Linked DNA regions of Macaca fascicularis. The protein of the gene in region 2 purifies or fractionates together with the protein of the main gene of each other region. This does not show direct contact. Links are inferred from orthologs where the notes say so. Each region holds a gene or a part of one and is shown on either strand. Other genes may lie near its edges. The genes, in order: COPS7B, DCAF1, COPS7A, DYRK2 and CEP78.

What was found.
Region 1: the proteins of DCAF1 (region 2) and COPS7B purify together in Homo sapiens (affinity purification with mass spectrometry; 3 studies listed by BioGRID, with this or other methods). This does not show direct contact. The link is inferred for Macaca fascicularis from reciprocal best matches to the Homo sapiens genes DCAF1 and COPS7B.
Region 3: the proteins of DCAF1 (region 2) and COPS7A purify together in Homo sapiens (affinity purification with mass spectrometry; 4 studies listed by BioGRID and IntAct, with this or other methods). This does not show direct contact. The link is inferred for Macaca fascicularis from reciprocal best matches to the Homo sapiens genes DCAF1 and COPS7A.
Region 4: the proteins of DCAF1 (region 2) and DYRK2 purify together in Homo sapiens (affinity purification with western blotting; 5 studies listed by BioGRID and IntAct, with this or other methods). This does not show direct contact. The link is inferred for Macaca fascicularis from reciprocal best matches to the Homo sapiens genes DCAF1 and DYRK2.
Region 5: the proteins of DCAF1 (region 2) and CEP78 purify together in Homo sapiens (affinity purification with western blotting; 3 studies listed by BioGRID, with this or other methods). This does not show direct contact. The link is inferred for Macaca fascicularis from reciprocal best matches to the Homo sapiens genes DCAF1 and CEP78.

What each region holds. Positions count from the first base shown.
Region 1 is NC_088386.1:127,715,743-127,721,347, reverse strand, and holds part of COPS7B (COP9 signalosome complex subunit 7b), read right to left. Parts: intron 4,503-5,605; exon of another isoform or gene 4,468-4,502; 5' UTR 4,452-4,467; coding exon 4,290-4,451; intron 1,676-4,289; coding exon 1,600-1,675; intron 1-1,599. UniProt on the Homo sapiens protein: Component of the COP9 signalosome complex (CSN), a complex involved in various cellular and developmental processes.
Region 2 is NC_088376.1:114,509,482-114,515,831, reverse strand, and holds the start of DCAF1 (DDB1- and CUL4-associated factor 1), read left to right. Parts: upstream 1-2,673; 5' UTR 2,674-2,800; intron 2,801-5,218; 5' UTR 5,219-5,265; intron 5,266-6,350. UniProt on the Homo sapiens protein: Acts both as a substrate recognition component of E3 ubiquitin-protein ligase complexes and as an atypical serine/threonine-protein kinase, playing key roles in various processes such as cell cycle, telomerase regulation and histone modification.
Region 3 is NC_088385.1:7,646,950-7,651,837, forward strand, and holds part of COPS7A (COP9 signalosome complex subunit 7a), read left to right. Parts: intron 1-2,384; coding exon 2,385-2,460; intron 2,461-2,682; coding exon 2,683-2,771; intron 2,772-3,711; coding exon 3,712-3,914; intron 3,915-4,869; coding exon 4,870-4,888.
Region 4 is NC_088385.1:74,403,414-74,409,743, reverse strand, and holds the start of DYRK2 (dual specificity tyrosine-phosphorylation-regulated kinase 2), read right to left. Parts: upstream 3,606-6,330; 5' UTR 3,215-3,605; coding exon 3,166-3,214; intron 2,549-3,165; coding exon 2,400-2,548; intron 2,371-2,399; exon of another isoform or gene 1,539-2,370; intron 1-1,538. UniProt on the Homo sapiens protein: Serine/threonine-protein kinase involved in the regulation of the mitotic cell cycle, cell proliferation, apoptosis, organization of the cytoskeleton and neurite outgrowth. Functions in part via its role in ubiquitin-dependent proteasomal protein degradation.
Region 5 is NC_088389.1:108,875,109-108,880,713, reverse strand, and holds part of CEP78 (centrosomal protein of 78 kDa), read right to left. Parts: intron 5,122-5,605; coding exon 4,986-5,121; intron 3,817-4,985; coding exon 3,771-3,816; intron 2,131-3,770; coding exon 2,002-2,130; intron 1-2,001. UniProt on the Homo sapiens protein: Centriole wall protein that localizes to mature centrioles and regulates centriole and cilia biogenesis. Involved in centrosome duplication: required for efficient PLK4 centrosomal localization and PLK4-induced overduplication of centrioles.

The DNA.
Region 1 (5,605 bases), on a different chromosome or scaffold from region 2:
GGATTCCAACAAACTAAATACAAACTGATTTTTTTTCCTTAAGCATGGTGCTGAAATTCACCTGGTGAGAATTTTGGACCTGAACGGAGACAGGCTTTTTATCCCACTTGTTTCCACGTTCCTCTGAAAATGTTACATAAAAAGGCATGCGCATATTACCTTTTTAAAGTCCCAAAAATTCTAAATTCTGAAACATGTAGCTTCGAGGAATGTAGGTAAGGAATAACGGACTTGTATTGTTACTCCCATTTTACAGACGAGGAAATTGAGCTGCATAAGGTTACTTAATTTGTCAACGAACACACAACTAGTAGAAGTGGAGCCAGGCTGGCTACACGCAGTCTGGTAACAGAGTTTGCAATGCTGCCTCTTTAGTAAGCGAGGACAGAAAAACAGAACACACTCCCTGGAACAAAGGGAAGGTCAGAAAAAAATGTGGTGTACCAGGAAGTGGCAAACTGTCTAGTCTGAGAGCCGCACAAAGTAGAAGTGACCAGGGAGAAAGAAGAAGTCAGGGATATCATAGAGAAGACCCTGAGTATCAGGCTACTGTCATACCATTAAAAAAGGGTAGGAAAGCCAGAAAAAAATGGTTTGGGTAGAAGGTAAGTTAGTGTTTGGACACACAAATACCTCATCCTAATATTTAAGATTCTAATTTAAAATGACTCAAATGCCCTACAACAGAAAATGGGCTAAGTAGATTATGAAATATTAGGTTGTGAAATATTAAAAATATTACAAAGACTTAAAATATGGATAAATGTCTATAAGTGGGAAACAAGCAAGACATAAAACTATATACATAGTTATACCTATGTAATACAAAACACAAACTTAAGGGGCACAAGAAAGTCCAGCATCCAAATGTCTGATGGAAATACAACTATGAGTGACATTTATTTATTTGTTTGTTTGACAGAGTCTTGCTCTGTTGCCCAGACTGGAGTACAGCGGTGCGATCTCAGCTTACCACAATCTCTGTCTCTCAGGTTCAAGTAATTCTGCTGCCTCAGCCTCCAGAGTGGCTGGGATTACAGGTGCCCACCACCACACCCAGCTAATTTTTGTATTTTTAGTAGAGACAGGGTTTCACCATGTTGGCCAGGCTGGTGTCAAACTCCTCACCTGAAGTGATCTGCCTGCCTCGGCCTCCCAAAGCGCTGGGACTACAGGCATGAGCCACCGCGTCCAGCCTATGAGTGACTTTTTAAAAATCTATTTTCCAAATTTTCTTCAATATGCTGGTATTATTTTGATAATATTTAAAATGTTGAAATATTCTACAGGTGGGTATTCTGACACTTCATGGCACTCCAAGAGCCCTACAAACACCAGTCCTCAAGAATCTCGTCTGGAAAATAAACAAGGGCTACATTTGTGGATGAGCACACACAGTCCCCATTTTACCCACTAGAATACAAAAGGTGAGAAGGAAAATTCCCTTTGTGAGGTCACCTACCAGGCACAGCAAAATGGGAGGCAGCCAGGTCAAGAAGTCTCCCCCCTACCCCATGCTTTATATCTCAAACCTTGATGGTCTTCCAAACTGAGCAACATAATTAAGACAAGTCTTTTGAAGGATCTTCACCAACTCACCTATGTAATCTGGGTATGTCCCATAGGCAAACAGGTTCAACAACTGCAAATAAGCAGCATTAGCTCCTTCCGCAAGCTGAGGAGGGAAAAAAAAGTTCACCACAGACCAAACTGTCTACCAATCACTGTAGTGTTCAAACAGAGGACGGGTGAGCATGTGTCAAAGATGCCATGGCTGTTTATTCTGTACTATTTGATTACTTGGCCCCTGGGGTCTCTCTTCCAACTCTGATTCTTTGGGAAAAAATAAACAAGATTATTAAAGCCCCAAATTTAATATCTCTCCCTCGGGAATGTTTTACTTTCTACACAGCATGCCCAAGGAACTGCTTTTCTCTCTCACACACATACAAAGCATTAAGCATTGGAAGGAGTTCAAATCTTCTCAAGATTCTATTTGCATTAAAACAAAGACTGCAGCAGCCATATCTACATACTAGCTTGGTAGGTATGGCATGAGCCACCACTAACCCAAAGTGAACAAAGCTCAGGGTTGCTTCCAAGTTTCAGGACTACATGTGGACTATGAACCCTGGGAGAGACCAGCACATCACAGGGCATGACAGAAAGCCAGGCTGGGACAGAAAACCAGTGTATCAGTCTGCTCCAAATCAAAATGTTCATTAAAATTACTTACTCTTCACTGATGCTGATGGCAAAAAGCCATGTGTAGAAGAAAAACGAAAGAGCCACTGTTCTGCCTGTAACTTCTCTGCTGTCAATTACGTTAACTGGTGAGTTTTTTGTTTTTTTTTTTAAATCACAAACGTGCTCCTGTTACCCTTCCAACTTACCAAGCCCAGTAACCTCTAAACAGGAATAGCGGTACTACTCAATTTTAGCCTTTAAAAAAATAAAGATTCCAAGAAATGCATCTATAATTTCAGATCACTGAAAGGCAACCAGCTTATTCTCAGCTCACATAAGGAAAAACGCAATGTATGGAGAGATAAAGGCGGTCTGCCAAGCACCCTATGGAGAACTCCAGCATCCTAATACCTCAGGCTACTTTCTCAGGTTACCACAAACCTCCTGAAGTCCCTGAATCAGAAGGGGAAGAAACCTGGTAAAGACCATCCAATCTAGCCCCCACTTTTCAGACACATAAAACTAGCCGGAAAAGAGTATTTTCTCCAGAGCAGATACTCCAACACTTCTCCCCCTGGCCTAAATCAATAAAGCCTTTCTGGCTTTACTTTCCAACCATCTCCTCTTAGCCAATCTTCCACAGTTACAAAACAACTACTTGGCATATTCATGCAGGCTTTTCATGAACCTGAAGGAACATATTACCCTTTGGTCATCTCTTGTGTTGAAAAACGAACCCAGTTCTCTCAAATTTTCTTCATAAAACTCATTTTCCACTTCTGGCAAATTAAATTTTTATTGAAAACCTACTGTGTGTCAGGCTATGTATTCAGCTCTAAAGAAACAATGTTGAGCACTACAGACCTCCTCACAGAGATTACAGTTTGGCAAGCAAGCCTGAAATTAAATAAAAATTTACAATGAAAAAGTAAAAGTGGCTCTTCTCATCTCTGACCATCACAGGTAGAGGAGTCATAAGTGGGCACCTGAAATGGCTGCGCTGTGGGGAACTGCTGCAGTTTCCCCATCAAGAGGAACAGGAGGACACACAGCTCCGAATCCAACAACCTGAAGGCCGGCAACTCCTTTTGTTAAAACTGACTGTGGATGTGGAGCCAACAGCAAAGGTGTTGTAGTGGTCACGAAGGTGATAAACTGCCTAACAAAAGCAAACCACCTCCTATATGCAAATCGCCACCACCAAGAACTGCAGGGCCACTCTCAACAGCATCCGGCACATGCTCCACAAGAGGTACCACCACCCAGATCGGTGCGTGGCAGCCTTCCACAGAGCCAGCACCAGCCTGCAAAGCCAGAAGCCTGTGAGGATGAAGAGGAAGGGGACCTGCCCCACCGATCCACCAAAAGCTCCTGAGTATGACCCTCCACCCTACAAAGCAATAAAGATGCTCACAGACTTTTCTCAAGTAAGTGAATATAAACAAATAAAAATGTTCAAAGTGGGAAGTAGAGGTGGAGAAGTATAGATTGCTTTACATCTCTTTGTTCCTTCTGTTCAATGGATCTTCTCATTTTTGAGGCACAATGACCAAAACTGGATACCCAAGGTTTTAATAACAAGCAAGCAAACACGTAAAATGAACTACGTCCTAGCTTTTCATGTCATATCTAACACATTTAGCATAGCACTGTCCTTTTCCACAAGAAAAATACACTCCTATTCATGTCCATTTTATGTTCAATAGCAGTAAGTTTCTGCTGTGTGTCCCTGACCAATCCTCCTTATCGATAATGCACTGGAGGTTTCTGGTCCCTAAGAATGCCTGAATCTACCCCTATTAAACATCAGCCCATGCTTATAGCACTTTTCTAATTTATCAGGATCAACTTGACTTTTTTACTATCTTTTAGATTATTATTAGCAACAATCTAATTTTACCCAAGTTGAGATAAAAATACTGGATAAAAGGACCCAAGGATATCCTCTCAATCTCTTCCTCTGCCCCACCAATTCCCATCCCTCTCTCAATAGGGTACCTCACAGGTTCACAATACTTCAGCATTGAAATTCTTTGGAAACCTGGAGAATTACAGAGAGTCTCAGAACAAAGACAGAGAAATTGTTTGAAAACCGTTCTTACCTCCTGCACGTTGGCCAGCTCCAGAAGTTCTCCAAAGACATACACTCCAGGAGCCTCTAAGACCTGGCTTATGAGAGCAGTGAGGGCTGAGCCACTGGTACCTTTGGCTAATAAAATAAACTGCTCCAGGAGGTTACTTGAGGGTTTCTGTTCCCCTGCCATTCTCTGGCCTTGAAATCTGTCCAAAAGAAAATTGTGTCATTCTTCCTTCTCCTTTGCAAAGTCTATGCCTATTTAGTGCTGAATCAAACACCAGAATACTTTAATTTTATAGTGTTGATAAAGAAAAACCAGGCCAGGTGCAATGGCTCATGCCTGTAATTCCAACACTTTGGGCGGCTGAGGTGGGTGGATCACCTGAGGTGAGGAGTTCGAGACCAACATGGCCAACATGGCAAAACCCCATCTCTACTAAAAATACAAAAATTAGCCAGGCTGGTGGCAGATGCCTGTAGTCCCAGTTACCCGGGAGGCTGCGGCACAAGAATTGCTTGAACCCAGGAGGTGGAGGTTGCAGTGAGCCAAGATCGCGCCACTGCACTCCAGACTGGGCAATAGAGCGAGACTGTCTTTTAAAAAACAAAACAAAACAAAACAAAAAAACAGTTCCTGAGTCCAGATGCAATTACCACCTTGGGAGATGGGTGGAGTTCAACCTGGAGTTAAAAGGATCTTTTACTAAATTCTGGTGTTTGAAACACACTCTGTAAAAGTCATTTCACTTCCACCTGCCCCTCCTCCAGAGGCAACACCTTCTAAGTCCTTAAACCTGACCAGGAGCTAAAGAAAAACACAGGAGTTTCTCAGCAGCTGTTTTATATCCACCTCGTTTACATATTCTGGTTAAGAAATAAAGGATACTGCCTATACCCAGAGGCACCAGACGTAAGCAAAAGCAATCAGTTACAGCTCCCACTGTGTCATCAGAATCCCATCTACAGCCAGAGAGATAAGGAAAACAAAAAACCAAACAAGAAAGATGTCTCATTTAATCAAGTCAGGTAAGCACAGGTAGAGGGAGACATCATTTTGAAAGAAAAACAGCGACATACCCAAACTAAGAACATGCATGCTGTGTAAGACCATGGGGGAAAATCCCTGTATTCGGCCTCCTCCTGATACGACATTTTAACCAAACGTGACTTCAGAATGTGTAAAAAGAACTCAAGAAAACAATAAAAAGATTTGGGAAAACAGTGAAAATATTCTATAAGCGCTCCGAAGACATTAAGTACAGGAGGGTCCCTCAACTGTGTAATCTAATTACAAGCTGAGTGTACAGGAGTTCCAGGTAAGATTTCTCCTCTAAGAATGAT
Region 2 (6,350 bases):
GCTGCAGGAGTTAAGAGTGCAGAATCCTGAGGGTGTGGCTGCTGGACAGGCCCTGTTTGTCTCCTGCTCTGCTTCCCCTGCCTCCTAGGCCCTGGCTTCTCCAAAGCCCCTTCTTAATGCTTCTTGCTCCCATCACCAACCCAGGACCCCAGGCTGGGTTTCTGTTTTTAAAAAAAAATTATAAAAAAAAATTTTTTTTGAGATAGAGTCTCTGTCTGTCACCCAGGCTGGAGTGTAGTGGCACAATCACAGCTCACTGCAGCTTCAACCTCCCAAGCGCTAACAATCCTCCCAAGTCAGCCTCATAAATAGCTGAGACTACAGACATGCACCACCATGTCTGGCAAATTTTTAAGATATTTTGTAGAGACAGTGGAGTGGGGGGTGTCTCTCTATGTTGCCCAGGCTGGTCTTGAACTCCTGGGATCAAGAGATTCTCAGCCTCTCAAAGTGCTGGGATTACAGGCGTGAGCCACAGCACGCTGACCAGGTTGGGTTTCTGAAATGAAGCAGTGCCATCTGGTGGCAGGCTGAGGCAGTGCCAGGAGCTGGTGAGCTGGGCCTTGAGCTCCCTTAAGGGCTCTGCCTTTTAGGACCCCAGCCACTGGAGAAGTCATCACTGGGCCGGCTAGACCATAGACAGAGGGGAGATATCTAAGGCTTAAATGTCCCATCTCCATACATTTTAGGTTCATGGCCCAGGAAAGTCACCTGAAGGAGTGCTGGAGGAAAGGCATGTGGGTTCCATTCCTTGATCTACCTCTCTGGGTTCAGATTTCTCATCTGTAAAGGTGATTAACCATATCTTCCCTGTGTGTGTGGCAGGGTAGTGAGGGTTAAATGAGAGAGTGTGGCTAGAACACTTGGCTCAGAGCCCAGCATGCTCTAAAGTTGAAAGAAATGGTAGTGGCCATTACTGATAGAGGCAAAGTTCCAGAAGCACAGAGAAGAAAGCTGTGTGTTGTTGCAGGAGAAAGAAGTGAAGAGAGGTGACATGTCTGTGGCGCTCCCAGCACACAGTAGAGTACACATTTAAGAGAAGGAGGATGGTCTCTTTTCTGGAAAGAGGGAAATGGGATCTAGTGGGGAGTGAAACCAAGGGAACCAGGATTCAGGTTCCTTACTAGCTGTGGAACACTGAGCATAGCGGCAGGCTTGCTGTGTCTTGTGTTCATGTGACAGTATTGTCCGTGAAGACTCATGGAAATGCACGGAGACTTGCTCAGCATTCCCAGAGAGATAATGAGCTGCGTAAGGCCTTGAAGGTTGGGTAGGATCTTGTCAGGTCAAGATTCTCCTCAAATGTGGAGTCATGTTTATCTTCTATGCCCCGCAAAAGGGACCGCTGGTCGGAGTAAGGAGTCTTCTGGTTCTGCTAATTGGTTGTGTGATGCTGGGCAAGTCACTCACTCCCTCTGGGCCTCATTTTTCCCAATAACATGAAGAAATTGAATTAAGTGACCTGTGAGGTCAGTCCTGCCTCAATCTATGAGCTTTTGATTTTTCACTTCTCTGCCTCACGTATAATACCTGGCAATAAGTATCTATTGATTCCTACAGGCTAGGTCTTGAACAAAAAGAGAGGCTGGGCGCAGTGGCTCATACCTGTAATCCCAACACTTTGAGGGACTGAGGCAGGAGAATCACTTGAGCCTAGAAATTCAAGACCAACCTGGACAACACAGTGGGACTCCGTCTCTACAAAAATTTTAAAAAATTAGCTGGGTGTGGTGGTGCACACCCGTAGTCCCAGCTACTTGGGAGACTGAAGTGGGAAGACAGCTCGAGCCCAGGAGGTTGAGGCTGTAGTGAGCTGTGATTGCGCCATTGCACCCCAGCGTGGGTGACAGAGCGAGGCTCTGTCTCAAAAAAAAAAAAAAAAAAAGACGGAGAACAAAGAGGCTGGGAGGCCCCGGTGGGTGGACCGCTTCAGCCCAGGAGTTCGAGACCAGACTGGCCAATATGGTGAAACCATGTCTCTACCAAATACACACACACAAAACAAAAACAAAAATTAACTGGGTGTCGTGGCATGCACCTGTAGTCTCAGCTGGAGGCTGAGGTGGGAGGACTGTTTGAGCCCGGGAGGCGGAGGTCGCAGTGAGCTGAGATCGTCACTGCACTCCAGCCTGGGCAACAGAGCGAGGCTCTGTCTCAAAACAAACACATAAAAAACAACTAGTGCCTTCTGTTTTAATGAGTGCTGTGATTTCTGATATGTTTATGAGAAAATATTTTCTTAGATCACGGTATGTTCTAGGTAAGATGAGGCAAATAGCCGAATAAAACAGAGGCTCTTTGCGCACACAGGTCAGAACAAGACACTAAAGCATCAGGCGATTATAGTACTGTCTTGGAAGGATTGACTCCCTCACTTTTCACTTCCGCTTTCCGAAGCAGCCAATGAGTACTCAGCAGTTCGCATTTATCCAAAAAAACTACAAATCCAGAAGTCAATGCGCGGGGCGAAGAGCTCATGCGTCAATTGGGACTGGTGGGCCCGCCCCTAGACGCGGAACTTCATTTCCCAGGCGTCCCCGGGGCTCTTCGATTTTCCTCGGATCGTGCAGGCGTTCTCCTCCCGCCCCTTGCTCACTGTCCTCGCGCCAAGTAGGCGCGCGCGCCCGCGCGCGCGGTGCACGTAGCGCGCGAGTGACGCATAATATGTGGGCCGCTGTGGAGCCGTGGTCGCGCTGTGTGTGTATGTGAGTGAAGAGTGAGTGCGGGACCTGAGGCTGTGTGTGTGAACTGTGGCCACTGGCGGGGTCGCGGGGGGGCAGTGGCGGAGCCGCCTCGGACGGTGAGTGGGAAATGGAGGGAGGCGACTCTACGGGAGGGGCGCGAGGAGGCAGGGCGCGTGGCTGGCCGGGCGGCAGAGTGGGCGCCGGGCTGGGGGAGGGGCGGCACCTGCTTGGGCCGCCGGCGAGGAGGGGGCGGGCCGGTCAGCCGGGAGGCTGGGCCCGGGGCCTGACAGGACTTTTCCTCCTCCTGATTCTTGTCCCGGGGGCGGGGCCTCCACGTTCTTCCTCCACTCCCCACGAGAAGCTTCCCGAGAGTAACTCTTCCGCCCGGAGTGGGGGGGCGGGGTGTGTCAGCCCCTACCTGGAGGGAGGGGCGCATGTCATATCCCTTGTCATCTTTTCCCTTCCAATCTTCCTAGTCTCTGTTCCGTACGGGCTTGGGGGGGCTCCATCTTCCGTACTATACGGCGGGCCCCTTCACGGACTGTGTCTCCGCCTCCGGCTCCAGTCACCTGGGCGGGCTCTCCAGTCTCTCGGCCTCGTGCCACCTCTCCCTGCACCCGCCCGGCTCTTGGACCTTGCGACGGGGGCGGAGCTTTCTGGTCACTCCTCTCATCCCCATGAAGAAGGGAAGGGTTGGAAAGAGGTGTGCGGGTCCCGCAGCCTGGAGTCAAACCTCAGAGTGCCCGCCAAACTTCCCGGGAGTCTGTTTCCGGGGGTTATAGTAGTTTTCAACTGGGGTTTCAGAAGCGTTTGCTTCACAACTTCACTTCCTAGACGGTTTTCTGTCTGGCTTCCTCTTACTGCAGTGGCAGCGCTCTGGTTTTCCATTTGTTGAGGAAATAGTTTTGGAGTGTTTGTATTAGTTATTTTTGAGTCAGAAATGACTTGTCCTTGGCCACGTCATGTTGGTCTCGGTTTTTCCTTACCCTGTTTTTTCGATGAAGCCTTTTAATTAGTCTTTACACGTTTTAATTTTTTATGTTAGTAGCATCTTCCTGTTCAAAATGCATTGTTAATGTACAGAATGAGAGGTTAATTGGTAATATCCTTCATTTTCTTTTTCCAGCTTACTGGAGTTTACCTTTAATGTTTATGTGTGTATATGTAGACTTTAGGAATCGATTTAGTATTTTTCTTAATGATGTGAACATTTGGGTTTTCTATATAGCAGTTATTCATTACCCATTTTTGAGTAGGTATATATATTTGGATGTTGAGATAATAGAGAATTTGGGGAGTGTAGGGAAATCATTTTTTGCTCAGTACCTCTTGGGTAGTTGCTGAGTACAGTGTTTTACTGTTCTGCCTATTATACAGTTTTTAAATTTTTTATTTTTATTCATTTATTTTTTGTAGAGACAGTAGTCTTACTGTGTTGCCCAGGCTGGTCTGGAACTCAAGTGATCCTCCCTTGTCAACCTCCCAAAGTGTTGGAATTACAGGCACGAGCCACTACACCTAGACTGTTTTTTTTTTAGATACAGGATCTTGCTCTGTAGCCTAGGCTGGAGTGCAGTGGTGTGATCATAACCCTTTTTTTTTTTTTTTTTGAGACAGAGTCTCGCTCTGTCGCCCAGGCTGGAGTGCAGTGATGCGATCTCGGCTCACTGCAAGCTCCGCCTCCTAGGTTCACGCCATTCTCCTGCCTCAGTCTCCTGAGTAGCTGAGATTACAGACGCCTGACATCACGCCCGGCTAATTTTTTGTAGAGACAGGGTTTCAGTGTGTTAGCCAGGATGGTCTCGAGTGTGATCATAACTCATTGCAGCCTCTAACTCCTGGACTCAAAGGAGCCTGCTGCCTCAGCCTCCTGAGTAACTAGGACTGCAGGCACAGGCTACCATGATTGGGTAATTTTTAAATTTTTGTGTAGACTGTGTCTCGAAATGTTGCCCAACTGACCTCAAGTAATCCTCCCGACTTGGCCTTCCAAAGTGTTGGGATTACAGGCTTGAGCCACTGTGCCTGGCAAGTTTTTAATTTTTTTTTTTTTTTTTGAGACGGAGTCTTGCCCTGTTGCCCAGGCTGGAGTGCAGTGGCATGATCTCCGCTCACTGCAACCTCCGCTTCCCGGGTTCAAGTGATTCTCATGCCTCAGCCTCTGGAGTAGCTAGGGATTACAGGTGTGTGCTACCACGCCTGGCTAATTTTTTTATTTTTAGTAGAGATGCGGATTTGCCATTTTGGCCAGTCTGGTCTTGAACTTTGGCCTCAAGTAATCCACCCACTTCAGTCTCCCAAAGTGCTAGGATTACAGGCATGAGCCATTGTGCCCGGCAAACAATTGTTAATATTATGCCATATTTTTTCTGTTTTTGTGTGTGGTATCTATATATTTATTTTGTGGACTACGCTAGCAGACACTTGTTAGGATAAGGAAATTTTACATAAGTATTTCTTGAGGCTTTGTATTATCCCACCATGGGGACAATATTGTCATTTAACCCCGCACAACAACTGTTTCCATCTTACAGATAAGGAAATTGAGATTTGGAGAAGTTAAATAACCAAGACTTCACAGGTATGTCAGCAGAATTGGGATTTGAATCCTTGAAATACTTTTTCTACCTAGTACTAGCTGGTCTTGGGGACCTCTCGGAGCTTGTTTCCTCATGTGTAAAAAAGGGTAGGATGGTTGTGAAAATTCAGAATAATGTAAGTGTAGTAAATTACTTACTCAATGTCTGTTCCATACTAGATATTCACTAATTGGTAACTATGTGTCACCATTGGACAGACCATCATTTCTTCATAGCACTTAAATAACTCACTTAAGAACTTGAGTAATGCATCCTCACTGTCTTGGGCATAACAAGGTGAAGATGACTGTCTTTTTGCTCTTGTTGCCCAAACTGGAGTGTAGTGGTGCGATCTCGGCTCCCCACAACCTCTGCCTCCTGGGTTCAAGTGATTCTCCTGCCTCAGCCTCCCGAGTAGCTGGGATTACAGGCACGTGCCACCATGCCTGGCTAATTTTTTTTGTATTTTTGTAGAGACGCAGTTTCACTATGTTGGCCAGGCTGGTCTCGAATTCCTGACCTTGTGATCCACCGGCCTCGGCCTCCCAAAGTGCTGGGATTACCAGGCGTGAGCCATTGTGCCCGGCCTAATTTTGTGTTTTTAGTAGAGACGGGGTTTCTTCATGTTGGTCAGGCTGGTCTCAAACTCCCAACCTCAGGTGATCTGCCTGCCTTGGCCTCCCAAAGAGCTGGGATTACAGGCATGAGCCACTGTGCCCAGCCTTTTTTTTTTTTTTTTCTTGAGACAAGGTCTCGCACTTTTGCTCTGGCTGGAGTACGGTGGTGCAGTCATGACTCACTGTGGCCTACACCTCCTAGGCTCAAGCAGTTCTCTTGCTTTAGCCTCCCTGAGTAGCTGGAACTACAGGTTGCAGTGAGCAGAGATTGCGCCCCTGCACTCCAACCTGGGCAACAGAGCGAGATTCCGTCTCACAAAACAAAAAATCAAAACTAAAAAACAAACATTGAAGTAGGTACTACTATTACTAATTTTTAAATTTTTTTCATAGAGGCAGGATTTCATCATGTGTTGCCCAGGCTGGTCTCAAACTCCTGGGCTCAGGTGATCTGCCCACCTAGGTTTTCC
Region 3 (4,888 bases), on a different chromosome or scaffold from region 2:
CAAGGTCAGGAGATCGAGACCATCCTGACGGTCTAACACGGTGAAACCCCATCTCTACTAAAAATACAAAAAATTAGCTGAGGCCGGGCGCAGTGGCTCAAGCCTGTAATCCCAGCACTTTGGGAGGCCGAGAGGGGCGGGTCACGAGGTCAGGAGATCGAGACCATCCTGGCTAACACGGTGAAACCCCGTCTCTACTAAAAAATACAAAAAACTAGCCGGGCGAGGTGGCCGGCGCCTGTAGTCCCAGCTACTCGGGAGGCTGAGGCAGGAGAATGGCGTAAACCCGGGAGGCGGAGCTTGCAGTGAGCTGAGATCCGGCCACTGCACTCCAGCCTGGGCGACAGAGCGAGACTCCGTCTCAAAAAAAAAAAAAAAAAAGGCCGGGCGCGGTGGCTCAAACCTGTAATCCCAGCACTTTGGGAGGCCAAGACGGGCGGATCACGAGTTCAGGAGATCGAGACCATCCTAGCTAACACGGTGACACCCCGTCTCTACTAAAAATACAAAAAACTAGCCGGGCGAGGTGGCGGGCGCCTGTAGTCCCAGCTACTCGGGAGGCTGAGGCAGGAGAATGGCGTAAAAAAACCCGGGAGGCGGAGCTTGCAGTGAGCTGAGATCCGGGCACTGCACTCCAGCCTGGGCCACAGAGCTAGACTACGTCTCAAAAAAAAAAAAAAAAAAAAATTAGCTGAGCATGGTGGCGGGCGCCTGTAGTTGTAGCTACTCGGGAGGCTAAGGCAGGAGGATGGCATGAACCCGGGAGGCGGAGGTTGCAGTGAGTTGAGATGGCGCCACTGCACTCCAGAGCAAGACTCTGTCCCAAAAAAAAAACCCACAAAAAACAGGGCCGGGCTTGGTGGCTCATGCCTGTTCCCAGCACTTTGGGAGGCTGAGGTGGGTGGATCATGAGGTCAGGAGTTCAAGACCAGTCTGGCCAAGGTAGTGAAACCCTGTCTCTACTAAAAATACAAAAATTAGCTGGGCGTGGTGGCAGGCGCCTGTAATCCCAGCTACTTGGGAGGCCGAGGCAGGAGAATCACTTGAACCCGGGAGGCAGAGGTTGCAGTGAGCCGAGATTGCGCCACTGCACTCCAGCCTGGGCGACAGAGTGAGACTCTGTCTCAAAAAAAACAAACAAACAAAAAAAAAAAAGCTCATGTATCCCAGAAGTTAAAGTATAATTTAAAAAAAAAAAGGGTGGCAGAGGTTGCAGTGAGCCGAGATCGCACCACTGCACTCCAGCCTGGGTGACAGTGCGAGACACCGACTCAGAAAAAGAAAAAGAAGCACTTATTGAGTGGCTGTTTACTGCCCTTTTTATGGTCTGGGAATACAAGAAAAATATCAGAAGAGATAAGATGAATGGATATAAATCTAAATTATTTATTTATTTAGCGAGTATTTCTTCTGAGGCAATTACTGCATAGCTCTGTGGGATACCAGAGACTGGGTCTATAATCTTGTTGAAAGATATTCTTAGGTAGCAACCTTCTGCAAGGATTGATTAAGTGCCAGAATGAAGCTGAGCACAGTGGCTCATGCCTGTAACCCCAGCACTTTGGGAGGCTGAGGCAGGTGGTGGATCACTTGAGGTCAGGAGTTCGAGACCAGCCTGGCCAACATGGCGAAACCCTGTGTCTACTAAAAATACATATATTAGCCCAGTGTGATGGTGCATGCCTGTAATCCCACCTGCTTGGGAGGGTGAGGCAGGAGAATCACTTGAACTCAGGAGGCGGAGGTTTCAGTGAACCAAGATCACACCACTGCATTCCAAACTGGGTGACGGAGGGAGACTCCGTCGCGAAAAAAAAAAAATGCCAGAATGAGTGATCCATGATAGGAGAGGAAATCTGGGTGGACTGGACTGGGCGATGCAAGACAGTGTCCTGGTCAGGTGGGTCTGAAGCAGAGACCACAAATTTAGATGTCTTTCTAGGCTGTGCAGCTGTCAGAGATGAGTGAGGCCGAGGCAGGAATCTGTTGAATTGCGGAGTACTGCACACTGCCCAGACATATTCCAATTTAGAAATATCAAACACTCTGAGGGCCAGACAACACAATTTGCGGTGTCTGGTGCGTGTGTCTGTTCGACTCTGAAAACTGAATGTCTTCAACTCTGAATTTAGGGTAGGAATTGGATGGCGTATGGAGCAAGAGGGCATTGTGGATTGGGAGAATAGTGTAAGCAAAGGCCTGAAGGTGGAAATGCGCCCTTCCTGTGGGAAGCGTGATCAGAGAGGCAGAGAACTGCTTTTGATGAGCCAGGAGAGTTAACATTGGCTGGGAAAGATGGAACAAAAAGTGGAGTTCCACACAGGGTAAGGCTGGGAGGGTGGAGAGGAAGACTTGGGTCACCTCCTTTGTCTTCATTCTTGCAGCTGGCTGAGAGTGACTTTGCCTCCACCTTCCGGCTGCTCACAGTGTTTGCTTATGGGACATACGCTGACTACTTAGGTAACCAGAGGGTGTGGTGCTCTGGAGTAATGGAGATGGGAGAAGGGCAATTTCTGGAGGGACTCAGAAGAAATTCCCAGGATATCCCACTTAGATCCCCTGGGCACGTAGGGTCAGTGTCAAGACCTGAATTGGCATTGAACATGGGAGGGGAGGGAAGGAGGCTAGGGCTTCCCAGAAAACTGATATCAGGATTCCTTACACTTTGTCATTTTTCCCTAGCTGAAGCCCGGAATCTTCCTCCACTAACAGAGGCTCAGAAGAATAAGCTTCGACACCTCTCAGTTGTCACCCTGGCTGCTAAAGTAAAGGTGAGTGGCAGTCCCCCAGTCCTACGGTCTTGAGCATCCTTTTGTATGTCCCTGGGAGTCCACACTAGGACAGCCTTTGTCTGGACCATGGCTGCTTCCTGCCCTCCCCTTGTCCAAGGTCTGTATATAAACTCCATTAGCAACCGTTTAGGCTGATAGTATTCTTAGTTTTCTGTGTTGTTTTTATTTTTTAATCAACCTAAGTTCTAAATAAACATCTTTTGTGTATTTGGTCAAAATAGCAACTAGGATGTTGTTCAGGTGTTGTTCAACAATACCTTCTTCCCTACTGCAGGAAACCAGACTCTCTCTTGATGAAGTGCTAGGCTTCTCTTTGTTAGGATGAGAAATATATATCCCAGAAGTATCTGTATATTCCCATTATTAATGGCTGTTTTTTGTCTAATATCACCATCCACCTCCCCAGCCTGCCCAATCTGCAGCTCGCAATAGTTACTTGACTCTCAGTTGTCCTCGGGATTTAATTTAAACCAGGCTCTCTATTGAGAGACACCTCCAAAGGAATGCCTGTTGCAAGCAGGCAGAGTATAAATGATAAACAGTAACTCCAGACCTCTCCCACTTCCGCTTTCTCCCCTATGTCAAGCTGATCTTGACTGAGGACCGGGTGATACCCTGAACTGTGGCCAAAGGAGTGACACCCAGGCAGATGTCATTTTCTCCCTCTGTGGTGTGGCAGGGGTGAGGGTGTTAGGGGAGCATTTTGTATTTTATTTAAGATTGTGCTTCTAATGATGCTGTTTTTGAAGTGGGAATACTTTTGTTTATTTTGCTTTAGAACCAGCCTCTTAGAGGAAGTGATTTAGGAATGGGAGTGGAGGGCAGGTGTGCTGGGGCAGGGGGAAAAGGAGGGAAGATTTTTGGAAGCCCTTTTCTGTGCGGAACCTCACAAATCCTGACCTGATCTGCGCGGCCCCAGTGTATCCCATATGCAGTGTTGCTGGAGTCTCTTGCCCTGCGTAATGTGCGGCAGCTGGAAGACCTTGTGATTGAGGCTGTGTATGCTGACGTGCTTCGTGGCTCCCTGGACCAGCGCAACCAGCGGCTCGAGGTTGACTACAGCATCGGGCGGGACATCCAGCGCCAGGACCTCAATGCCATTGCCCGAACCCTGCAGGAATGGTGAGAACCGTATCCTGGCACTGTCCCCTTCCTTGTCACCCTGAGAAGGAGAAAGGCGCTTCAGGGTGAGAGAGGGCAAGAGCTGGGCTGGTCTGTAGAGGTGGAACCCAGGAGGATGAAGGGAAATGAATTTATCCCTCCAAAGGCTTCTGGGGAATGCAGGAGTGGGGAGACCTTGGGAGGCGGCAGAAGTCAGCGTCTTTGATACAGCAATTGGGGGAGGGAAAGGGAGTGGTACAACTGAGGGGATCCTAACCAGTAAGGTTGGTCGCCTATCTTAGGCTGGATTCTGTCGATTGGTCTATAACTACCATTGTCCACAGGCCATGGACCTTTTCCTCTTTTTTATTTTCTTTGTGTCCCCATCTAACTTCAGGGTTTCTGTATTCATTAAGTCACCTCTTTTGCTCTTTAGCATCTCCTGCCCTATTTTGTTTTTAGTTCCTACTCCCATCTTGCACATTACTCCAGGCACTTCCTTATCGCTCTCTGACCACACTGAGTGTCCATCCCACTGCTAGGAGTGTTATCACAGGTAGTTTCTAGGTGCCCTGGTGAGGGTTCCCAACTCAGACTCAAAATGCCTGAAGCTGTGTTCTGGCTCTGTTGCTCAGGTTGGAGTGCAGTGGCACCAGCTTGACTCACTGCAGCCTCCAACCTCCAGGGCTCAAGCCACCCTCCACTTCAGTCCCTCGAGTAGCATGGGACTACAGGCTCGTGCCACCACATCCGGCTAATTTTTGTATTTTTTGTAGAGACGGGTTTTTACCGTATCACTCAGGCCGGTCTTGAACTCCTGAGCTTAAGCAGTCTGCCTATCTTGGCCTCCCAAAATGCTGGGATTATGGCGGTGAGCCACTGCGCCCTGCCTCTAGGGTTCTTTTTGAGTCCGTTTTCTGCGAGTCTGTGATTGCAGTCCTTGTCTGCTGACACTTCTCTGCCCTGACTCCCGCAGGTGTGTGGGCTGTGAGGTT
Region 4 (6,330 bases), on a different chromosome or scaffold from region 2:
AAAATACTTCTATTAATAACTGCCAATTAACATTAATAGAAAAATAATAGGAAGTAACAGGCACACTTCTATCTCTCACACAAACAGAAATAAATTACTAAAGTGTAAAACAACTTATGCATGGAGATATAAAACAAGAGGGCAACGGACTAGATAAATTCCAAAGCTTATAATCTTTATAATCATATATTTGACCTGCCTAGTGTATCACCTGTAAGAGAAAATGTGGGCAAGCTCCTATGACAAGATCATTTTTATCTCCTTAATGCCCTCCCCACCCCCCATTCATTCTAGAAGTTCTTCCTAGGTGTAATTACTCTGGAAATAATAACTAAAAATTTATAAAAATCCGACAGACATATGAGAATATGGATCTACAAAGGTTCTTGCATTTATAATGAGGCTAGTACAATTTCCTAGAATTAGCAGTCTCCATCAGCATATTAAAACTAGATGCAGGAGGGTGTAGGCTTTCACTCCGGCCTTGATATGAACTGGCTGGGGAATCCTGATGAAACCAGTTACCTTGTCTGAGTCTGTTTCCTCATCTATAAATTGAAAGACTAGAAACAGATAAACTCTGTGGTCCTTTTAACCTTTCCTGTACTATGAAATCTGCGATGTTACAGAAATAAAATCAAAACTAAACCACCATCGAAACCCAAATTCACACCTTCAAAGTCAAGCATCTAATAATTAACAGCATAGCGAAGTTTACACACACGTTAAAAACAAGTAAATCTGGCACACGCCACAGCAAAATACAGGCCTCCATTATGAGGAGTACTGAGAAGCACATTCACATCCTTCCTTTTCTGGTGCACCACAGGCTCTCCCTCCAGTGGAGACTTGTCGTTTTATCTACTTTCATTACATGTATTTCAATGGCAAAGAGGCTTTGATCAAGCAAAGCCCATCCTTACAAAATTGGAATCCACATGCAAACCAAATAGCTCTTTTTCCAGGTCACACCATGTCATGTGATTACATCAACACATAGAAAAAAAAAAAACTGGATATTACATTTTCCAAATTGTCAGATGATCCCAAACAAAAAATCTAAACCCCTAAAATCAATGGCAGTTCGTTACCTAAATTTTCACTGCAACAAGAACACTGAACAGTAATATACAGAATCATCCGTCCTACTACCATCCACAGTCCAACACAGATGAGTTAACTTCTGTGCAATGAATTCCCAGCCCCTGGGACCAGATGTGTCAGGACAGAGACAGACAGAGGGAGGGGGAAGAGTGTAACAGCAACAAAACATTTTCCTACGAAACTTGCACACGTCTCTCCAGGTCTAACAGGTGCAACTACGGTCTAGACATCCCCTCACAGTTCTCTGACAAACAAGTTTCCCCATATGTCCCCAGAGCTACTCCCCTGTAGGCCGGGGGATGGCCTTTTTTTCAAGAACTCAACTTTCGCTTGGCAAATAAAACCAATTCCTGGCAAGCATCCCTCACACAGAACCATCTTAGGCTGTTCCTGTGGAAAATCCAATCGGGAAAAAAAGACCTCCAAACCATCACCTCCTCCAAGTGCAGATCTCCTCCAGGCTGGCCATCACCATCCAAGGGTGATCCCTGGGAGCTGAGAAAAGGTACATGCTGAAGTCGAATCCAGCTTGCCAGTCTCCACAGCCACCAGCAACCAGTACCACGCTGGCCTCTCCCCTCCCTCTGGGCCCTGAGAGACCACAGCACCTGTTAGGTGCTTTTTCCTTCCCACCTCCAAAGCAACGCTTGCCCTTTCCTTTTGAATAACGTCCAACTGCAGAATCCTACAGGGGTGGCTTGTTTTGACTGCTGCGGCGGCTCTTATTTTTGTTAATGTTAATTACAATTTCTGCTGTGCTCAAACCTGTAGCACTCATAAAACATGCTTACACACGCGGGGGACAATTGGCGATGCTCCCTGCTGGCTGGAGCCAGGCCTGGGAGGCTCTTTGGGGGATCGATTTTCCAGGCAGGCCGGTCTGGCTGTCCCCTAACACATATCTGTTTCTATAAATACCCACTACCCACGGGGAGGTGGGGGAAGGACAGAGATGTTTACCCGGTCAGGGAAAGGGAGCTCTGGGATGCAAGGACGAAAAATGAGGAAAGAAGGGAAGCAGCAAGGAGGAAGTTCCTAGGAAGAGGAGCTCATGGCTGGGCGGGCTCCGGAGGGGAAGTAAGGGGCCCACGCCACGAATCTTCCTTTGTGGCTGCAGCTTTGGGCTCGCCCAAGTTAACGAGGGCGGCGTCGAGGAGAGGCCACGGGCCCGGGGCGTGGGGCTTCTTGTATCTCGACCCCTCTTCTCCCGGCGTCAGAACCCTCCAAGTCCGGGTGCTTCTGCCTGGGGCCCCTCCCGCCCCCACCGCCCGGGCCGCCCGCGGGCTGGGTCTCACCGTGTGGGCTGCGGCGGCAGCGTTGCTGGCCCGGAGAGGCGGCAGGGCGATGGGGGAGGGCGGGCCGGTCCCCACTCCGCTCCGGGTGGCCCCCGCACCGAGCCCCGGGGAAGCCTGAAGCTGGCGAACGGCGCTGTCCCCACCTCTGCCTGGAAGCCACGTGCGGGAGGAGACAAAAGAGGGTCAGGGGGGAGAAAGTCACCCAGACTACCCCCCACCCCACTGGGCAGCGACACCCCTCTCCCAGGGAAAGACAGAGGAAGAGACCGGGGCAGTACAAACAAGCGTTCGGGTCACGGCTCCCCAGCGCACACCCACGGGCGGGGCGCAGGCAGCTGCAAAGTTAAGTCGGGCCCTGGCGCGCGAGTTCGCGACCCGGCGGGGAAGCCGGACCACGCCGGGGCTTGGCGGCCCACATTGCAGACTGCCAGCGGCCGGGAGGTGGGTTTGGACAGCTGAGCAGGGCGCCACGGCCACGCCAAGCCCCGGGCAGAGAAGGGCGGGGCGGCAGGCCTGGACGGTCCCCGCCCGGGCCCCTGGCAGGCAGAAGCCTCTTCGGGCGGAGGACTCCCCTCGGAGGGGCCTTCGGCGCCGCGCGCAACCCTGCGCGGAGCCCGGAGCGCGCCGTCCGCCCGGGGACTCCCCCGCGCCGCGCCGCCGACTTTGTTCGAGGTCCCGCAGGCAGCGGCCGCCCGCGCCACGGGGGCTGCCCTGGGTCGGCGGGGTTCCGGGGGGGGGGGGCGGCGCGGGGGCACGGCCTCCTTACCGGTCGGGAAGGCGGCGGGAGCGGCGGCCGAAGGTTTCCTGGTTAACATGGCCGCTGGAGAGGAAAATGCATTTCAGGGCTGCCGTCGCCGCCGCCGGTCCTGCTGCTACTTCTGGCGGCCGCCGCCGCCGCCGCCGCCTCCCGGCCGCCCCTCGCGCGGGTCCCCGGCGCCTCGTCGCCGCCTCGCGTCTGCTACAGCCAGACACACACAGTCCACTGCATCCCCTCGGCCCGGGCCCGCCGCCGCGAGCCCCCCGCTCTCCTCCTCGCCGCCGTCCTCCTCTTCCTCGGGCGGCTGCAGCACCCTCCGGCCCGTGCACATGCCTCGCCCTCCCCTGCGCGCCGCGGGCCTCCCCGTCTCCCTCACATAGGGGCGCGGGGAGCTAGAAGCGCCGCGAGGACCGAGAACCGCCTAGCTCGGGAGGCTCTCCCGGGCCCGCGCGCGCGCGGCCCCGCGCACTCACACACAGACACCGGCGCGCGGCCCCGCCCCCGCCGCCCTCCGCCGCCCTCCGCCGCCCTCCGCCGCCCTCCGCCGCCGCCGCAGGCCCCGCCCCCGGCTCCCCCGGCCCTGGCCCCCACCCAGCCTCCCGCCTGGCCTCTCTCCTCTCCCCGGGTCGCGCGCAGCCGCCCCTCCGTTCCCCGGAAAATTCGGCGGGCTCCGCTCGCCCTCCTCCGCCCCCTCCGGCCATCTGCACTGCTCCCCTCGGCTCCACTCCGGCGACCTTTTCCCCTCCCCGGCCTCTCCGGCCCCCTCGGAGCCCCTCCGCTGCCCTAACAGCTCAACCTACCGCTGCTGCCCTCCGGCCGAAAGCGTCGCAGAGACCCCTCCCCTGCCATGCCCACCCCTAAACATAAATGCATTTTCAGCTCTTCGAACTGAATGGCTGCTCACAGACAGTACTGCGTCCCCGGTCCCCCATTCTCAGTCGCGGCGACTTAGCCACTCCCCTCTCCCCAATTCCTCATGTAGATAACTTAGTTGTGCGAGGGTCACCTCGGAGAGTCAAGTCCTGGGAGGGGCCGCCGCTGAGCTCGTTGACCCTGAGCAGGGGCGAGAGAGGGGGCTGCCCTCCCACCTCCACTACACACACCCTCCCCGGTTTACTGACACCAAGTGACCGTTCGCCAGTCGCTAGGACAAGGGGAGGCAGAGAGGCGCGTGTGGACGGCAGCTGGGGAAGCAGTTGGCTGTGGGTTGCTAGGCAAAAATAAACATCAGAGACACCTCCTATTTCCTTACAACTCCGAGCCTTTTCCTGGCGCGGCCACTGGGAGAGACACACCTTCCTTTGAGCTCTGCGGTGAGGGAGCGACACCTCGAATTCCTCTCACCCCAACCCGACGCATCTCTTATAAACCCCTTCCTTTACAAGAAACTTAGAGAATTTCCCTGCCTTTTTTATTCGCCATCTACAACCTCTCTTTTCCTTGAAGACCAAAAAAAAAAAAATTGCTTTCCCGTCTCACACCCACGCCTCGTCGTGCGTGGCACACGGTGCGCCTCTGTCCAAAGGTCACAGGTGTTGCCACTTCAGCCGTGAGAGCAGGTGGGGTGGAAAAGCCCGACAAATTCCGAATGACGGGGCAGAGTTATGCCATGCACTTCCTTCTCGAGAGGTGCCTAGTTTCTGAAGTTCTCTTGGGGTCAGGGGTCCATTACGCTCTGCCCCGCCCGATTATCTCTGGCCCCTGGCTGGACCTACTGTGCAGGCCCGAACTAGTGCAGACTCCAGTCGGAAGGGAGTCACCTCCTGCGGAGTTTCATCGCCTCTACTGTTTGCAAATTGTCATAGCAACCTCCCACAGAGCGCACCCGCAGCTTTATACAAACGCCAAAAACTGTGTTTCAAGGTACAGTGTGACCTCTCAGAGTCTCTGGGACTCCTAAAGAGGCCTCCAAGTTAGGGACACTGGGAGAGGGAAACTGTGACAAAAAGAATTTTGCCTAGTATCACGTCCCTCCAAAAAAACAAAACAAAACCCTTTGGGGCCTTCTCCTAATAAAGTAGACCACAGTAAAATAATCCAATGATATGCCTTTAGATGAATCATGACCTGAACTGACCCTTGCAAGAAATATCCCCCTATGCTTGTCACTAGCGACTATCACATTTAAATCTACATGCGGAAGCATATTTAATGTTTAGAATCGACTAAAAGGCAAGGGCTACTCAGTAGCAGAGATGACACTAGAACCGGTTTTCTGACTCCCAGTCTGATTTCACTGATTTCCATCACACTACTTTCCTTACACTTTCAAGAAAGCTCACACCTCTTTTCTTCTCCTTTCAAAACACTTATTTTATACCATTTTCCTTTTTAAAATGAGTATACAACTGATGTTCAAATAAAAAAAAGAAGCAAAAATATCAATTTTAATATAATCCGACAGCCCTTTTTGCTTAAGTTATTCGTACAATACTTCAGTAGAAGCTAAATATGCCACTGTTTTCTCATGAATAAAATAAATGCTAGTTACTGGAAGCCATAGTTTACAATTTCCAAATTAGTAATATTAATTTACTCATTTAACATGAGGAAAAGGAGTGCTGATTCTTTTTTTTTTTTTTTTTTTTTTTTTTTTTTTTTTGACAAAGGAACACAATCATTAACTTTAGGAAAATAAAAGACATTAGGGAACTTTTTGTAGTTTGTTATTTTATATCATGACAAATATAATTTCAATTTTATATATTTTTTTGTGGCTTAACATAAGGAAATACTGCAGTTAACCTACCCCATGGCTATTTTGGTTATAAATGGTACATGTTTGAAAATTATATTAAATTTTACTGACCTCTAAATGACTATTAACCATTGCTTAGATTTTCCTTATTCTATTAAATATGGACATCTCCCTGAGTGAATGTTAAATGGAAAAGTTGTACAAACACACTCCTGGGGCTTTGGGGAGAGTAAAGTGGGTAAATTTGGGGAGTTGTTTCCCTCAAATTTTATTATTATAATGCATCATTATCAGTTATCTCATATAATTACACATATTTTTATCTCTTTATAAAACACTTTCACAAATATTACCATGGTTAATCTTCATAACTCCACCAGAGCGGATTTCATTTTAAATAGGAACCTCCTTAAAAGCTTCATTCAATTAGCAAGAGACTGCTCTTTGGTTTTTACTCATTGCAAAGACTCTTATCT
Region 5 (5,605 bases), on a different chromosome or scaffold from region 2:
TTTTTTTGAGACGAAGTCTCACTCTGTCGCCCAGGCTGGAGTGCAGTGGCACTATCTGGGCTCTGCCTCCTGGGTTCACGCCATTCTCCTGCCTTAGCCTCTCGAGTAGCTGGGATTACAGGCGCCCACTACCACGCCTGGCTTTTTTTTTTTTTTTTGTATTTTTAGTAGAGACAGAGTTTCACTGTATTAGCCAAGACGGTCTCAAGCTCCTGACCTTGTGATCCACCAGCCTCAGCCTCCCAACACCCTATTTCTTTTTTACAGGCGCTGTATCTTTCATACTTGTACTTAACAAACCTAAGGATGTTAAGTAGGGTTTTTTCTTAAAGTATTTTTGTTCTCTTAATTAGCTCTGGTCCTACCAGGACATATTTTTCATCTTTTATTTTCCTTGTCATGTTGTGAGTTTTATTCAACTATCAGGTGAATCATGGTTATTTTCTATTTAAGAATAAGGGAGCGGAGGATCACTGGGAGCTGATGACTGGCTTTTCCTATGCATGAAGAAGTGGGTAGCCAGTATGGCAGGATATCCTCAGCTACCCTTTTCTAGGGTGCAAAATCCACACTATCTACCCTAGTTCTCCCCAGTTACTTTACTGTTTTTCAAAGTCAAATGATCTCATTTCAGGAGAGTGCAGGTAAGGCTGGGAGTCAACTCTTCCACATACAAACTGTCAAGGAGCTCCCTCTATGTTAGTCACGTTTCTAGTTCCCTTCTCCTTTTTCCTATATGCATATCTGTGTATGGAGCCATTTCTGGAGTAGGGATTAGATTCCCTCTGAGCTGTAGGCTTCCCCTGTGCATATTCTAGGCAATGGTTTTCCTCTGTTCTACTGATTCGGTTTCATACTCATTTCCATCTGTCGCCTGTATTTCAAAAATATGTTGAAATCTCTTCAATTCTCTTGATTATTGTAGGCTTACATGTGTTAGAAATTTTGATAACATCATTTTAAAGAGTTCTTAAAATAGAAAAGAACTGAGAAAATTCTCAGTGCCTCTTGAATCAGAAATTCCCAAGTTGTATTTCATAACCTTCTTGGTCTCCTCAGTGGCTATAATCATTTTTAGAATACAATTTCCTAATCCCCGGTGAAGAAAATAAATACAACACATTTAAAACAATAATGAACATGAATGAGACATTGTAGGATTTTGTTTTTCCTCTGGAACTTAGCAATAAACCACTCAGGTGCTACAAACTATAGGTGCTCATTTATAATAGGGACAATTCTACATTATCTATAAATTTTTCCCTCTAATGTTCTATCATTTTTATAATTATCTTAAAATTTTTCTATATAAATACTATTAATTTTAATATTAAAAATGAAAATCAGGCTTCATTTTTTTGAAAATCAAAAAGTGATTTCCATAGTCACATAAAAATAAGGTAACTGCCCTTCCACCATGTGAGGACATGGTGAAAAGCCATCTATGAACCAGAAAGCAGGCCCTTGCCAGACATCAAATCTGCCTGAGCCTTGATCTTAGACTCTCCTGCCTCCAGAACTGTGAGACATAAATTCCTGTTGTTTATAAGCTAAATGTAAGTATATAAAAAAGGGATAATTATTTCTATATTTCTAAGTTTCATATAAAAGAAAATTATATTAATTCTAAAAAATTAATTGTGGACTTCCTAGCACACACAAAAAAGTTAAGGCCTCCCAAAGAGCCCTAAATCAGCTGGTTACATTCATTCAGGGCTTAATTTCATCGAGTTTATCTTATGATCATTAAGGCCTTCCCTAAATCTAATATTCTATAATTCTAAGGAAAGGAAAATAGATTACTGATGACATGTTTCAATTTTTATTTCTTAGAGTACAGATGTCCTTCCTTTTACCTTGTTCTATGATAAAGAACCATTCAAGGGATATGAGATAGAAGGATTCCCATGCAAGCTGTCCAGTGCCTAATCAAGCTTTCACCAGAAACTAACTAGAGTTTGAAATAATCTTCTCCATATCTTTAAAGTGATAGCTTTGTACCTGTAATGCTTCTTGTTTTATGCTAGTTTTCTCAGGCACTTCATGAACACTCTCTGAAGAATCATCAACCTCTTCAATTTCAGAGGATGAAGGACTCTCTACTGTCACAGTCACAGGAAAACCTGGTTGCTTAAAGAAAGAGAACAAGATTGTATAATAATATAAACCAAATACCAAATACTAAAGGACATCTAATCAAAGTGATCTTTCTGAAGTGTTAAGTCATTCTCTATAAATGTCTATCACTACTCCCTAGCCTAACACAATCAATAACAAAGTAAAAAGACACTATTCTTGCTATGTTATTGAAATAATTCTCTCATACAAGGTTTATAATTAATACTAGAATCGCCCATTTTTTTTTTTCTTAAATAAAATCTTTCTGAAAAGAACCTATATTATTTTATTACACTTTTTTCACATAAACCAAGCGAGGAGGCAGGGTAAACATTTTTTCTCAGATCAACTGCAGATGAGAAATTTATTCTCTACCATCACACACAGAGTCTTAAAGAAAGTATGATTTTTAGGAGAAAAAATCCATCAGTGGAGGCCTCACAAAGAAGGAAGAATAATTTAAACTGTGAATAATAAACACTAGAATGGTCTGTAATCCCAGCACTATGGGAGGCCAAGGCAGGAGGACTGCTTGAAGTCAGGAGTTCAAGACCAGACTGGGCAACATAGCAAGACCCTGTCTCTACAAAATAAAACAAAAACTAGAATTAAAAAAAAAATTAACCAAATACATGCACACAACTAAAACTGAGACATCAAAAACCTCATCTTTTCCTCATTCTTAAGCCAAAAACTACTGTAATAACAATGCAATTCTCCTGTCAAGTTTCAATGCCACTGGAATGTTATTCAATATGATATTTCCAAATATTTCAAAATTGACTGTGTCACAATCCCATAAAAAGTCCACAGATCAAAAAGAAGAGTGCCGGGATACATAACTGTACAGAAGAGAAGTCACGAGAATGCAGTATCTACTACAAGCATAAATCCTGCAGTACCTGAAAATCCTAGATGGTAGAATGAGATGCACGCCCATACTTTTGGCTATGCAAGGAGCAGTACCGACACACAGGTGCTCCTTCATCTCAGTAGTGCTACCTTTTACAGAGAAATTACAGTCTCTAAAAACAATTGAAAAGGAAAACCTGATACTCTGAAAGAATTGGCTTGCTCTAATACCATGATGCAGAATGACAGGGAATGTGTTTGATCCTGACAAGGGAGGAAGAAAAACTCTGAGAAAGCAGAGGCTTTAGGACTGGTTGCTTTATTGTGGATTTAGAATCTGGAATTTTTATATACATTTATATATAATTTATATACATATTTATATATATAATTTATATATGTTTATATATACATATAATTTATATATTTTTTTATATACATATAAAATATGTATCCCCAAAAAACATTTCTTTTAAACTTAAGGACATTCTTGACTATGATAACTCCATGTGCCAGGTGAGAAATGGTGGTCAAATTTGTTTCACTAGGGGCAACAGCTAATTTGCAGACCCAGAGAAATGACTTCCTGTCTACACAGATGAAACCACAAGGCCTCCATTGTGTGACATAGCCACACGATTATACTGTGGCACTGGGAAAACCCAGAAAATTTTAAATGAATTTACTTCAGGGAGGGAAATGTTTTTGTAAAACTCTATTCCGTTTAAAGAGCACAGAGAATGATTTTCCACCCTTCCCATTCCAACCCCCTACATATTATAAACACGGTAACTACGTACCTGCAACTGATTATATATATCACGTGTTTTGATTAATGGGAAACCCCTAAAGAGATATTGATAAATTAAGTTATATTTTGATGTAAATACACCACCAGTTAACACTAGGTAATAACACTTGCTAGTATTATGTAGACTATCCATACATAACTGTGCATAGAAATAAATCACCTCCAGATAAGGGCCTGGAAAACTCTGCTATGGAGAAAATTAAACAATTTAGCAGAATGGCTTTGGGATAAGTCTCTGAAGATGCATGTAGTTCTTATGTTCAGGATGGTTCAGATTTCCAATTTAACTTCTTTAACTGGTGATATTAATTGTTCTCTAATTCACAACTCCTTGTGACCAAGATGGGACTTGAAATGAGTAAGTATCTCAAGAAGACATGAAACTGCAGTTATTAAATGTAAGTGTAAAGACCAGGGCCTCAGCACTACAGTTTATGCAATAATAATTCACATTACAGTTGTAAAATAAGTATAGTCATCAGTTGCCTAATAAAGATTATACATATTCAATTTAATCTGAGCAACTGAACAGATATTTCACATAGCACCTATTTCCAGTCCTATTTAAAATCAGTTCTCTGTCTTCTTAAGCAATTGTTAATCTCCAATTTCTTGAATACTAAAAGTCATTTGAAAACAATTTATAGTAATCTAATTCATTTATTAAGCATAAAATTATAGTACAACATTTTAAAAACATTCTTCTGACAAAAATTACTATGAATAGCTACCCCCTAGGTAACTGGCTAAAACTAGTTATATCTGGTTTGATTCACTAAATATGATTCACTAAAATGAGTTAGGCCAGTTGGCTGAGTTAGATTAAGTCTAATCAACACTCTCCTATGCTTTACAATGCCCTTTCCCCAATCTTAAATATCCAAATTCCTACTTCTGTCCTATAGGACTTGGTTTAACTGCACATGCTTTAAATGAAACCTTTCCTCACCTGCACAACTGGAGATAATTTCAGTTTCCTCTGGACTCCCACAAGGATACAGCTTGCTGTGACACTTAATAACTTGAAACCCTACTTAAGATTATTTTTTGTTTTTCTTCCTTAAAGGATTCATGAGGCAGAAGCCACATGAGTCATTTTTACCCTATAGACATAAGCAGAGAACTCTCACATAATAGAAGCTCCAAAATAAAGAATTTTGAATCCCATTTTTATCCTAAAAGATAGAAAATAAAAATACCCTACCTGTGCCTTTTTGCACGTTCTGCAGTACGCCATGGCAAGAAACCAGACACACCAGGTGGTAGAGGTGCGGGCGCATATTCTTTACCAAGGGAGTGTTTTCTGCCACTACTTACAGGTTTCTTTGTAGCCAATCCTACTTGAGAAAGTGTTAAAAAGAAAGAATTAAGATGCACTAAAGGTCTACAGATTAATTAGCACATGTGCATACTCTTAAAAGAATACCAATGGGCACCTGACAATGACACCAAGGCCATTAAATCAGGATCAATTTGTAAATATCTTTTTACATAGGCCACTAATAAATATAAGAATAAATATATTTTAATATATTTAAATATAAGTTAAAAATGTAATAAATATATAAAAATTAAAAATATAAGTTGTCTAGAGTAACAAGTTATCACTTTAACTAAAATATAACTTTAATATATGAGACATGCAGAGCATGAAAAAGTAAATAAAACATGTAACCCAAAGAATGAAAGATTATATGTGATACATTTCATTATGCATTATGCAGAAATATTGTTATTAAATCTCAGAATATTTTTGGCATTCCTGAATCTCAAGGACAGAACATAGATATACCCATGACTCCTACCAAACAGAACCTTCTGAAT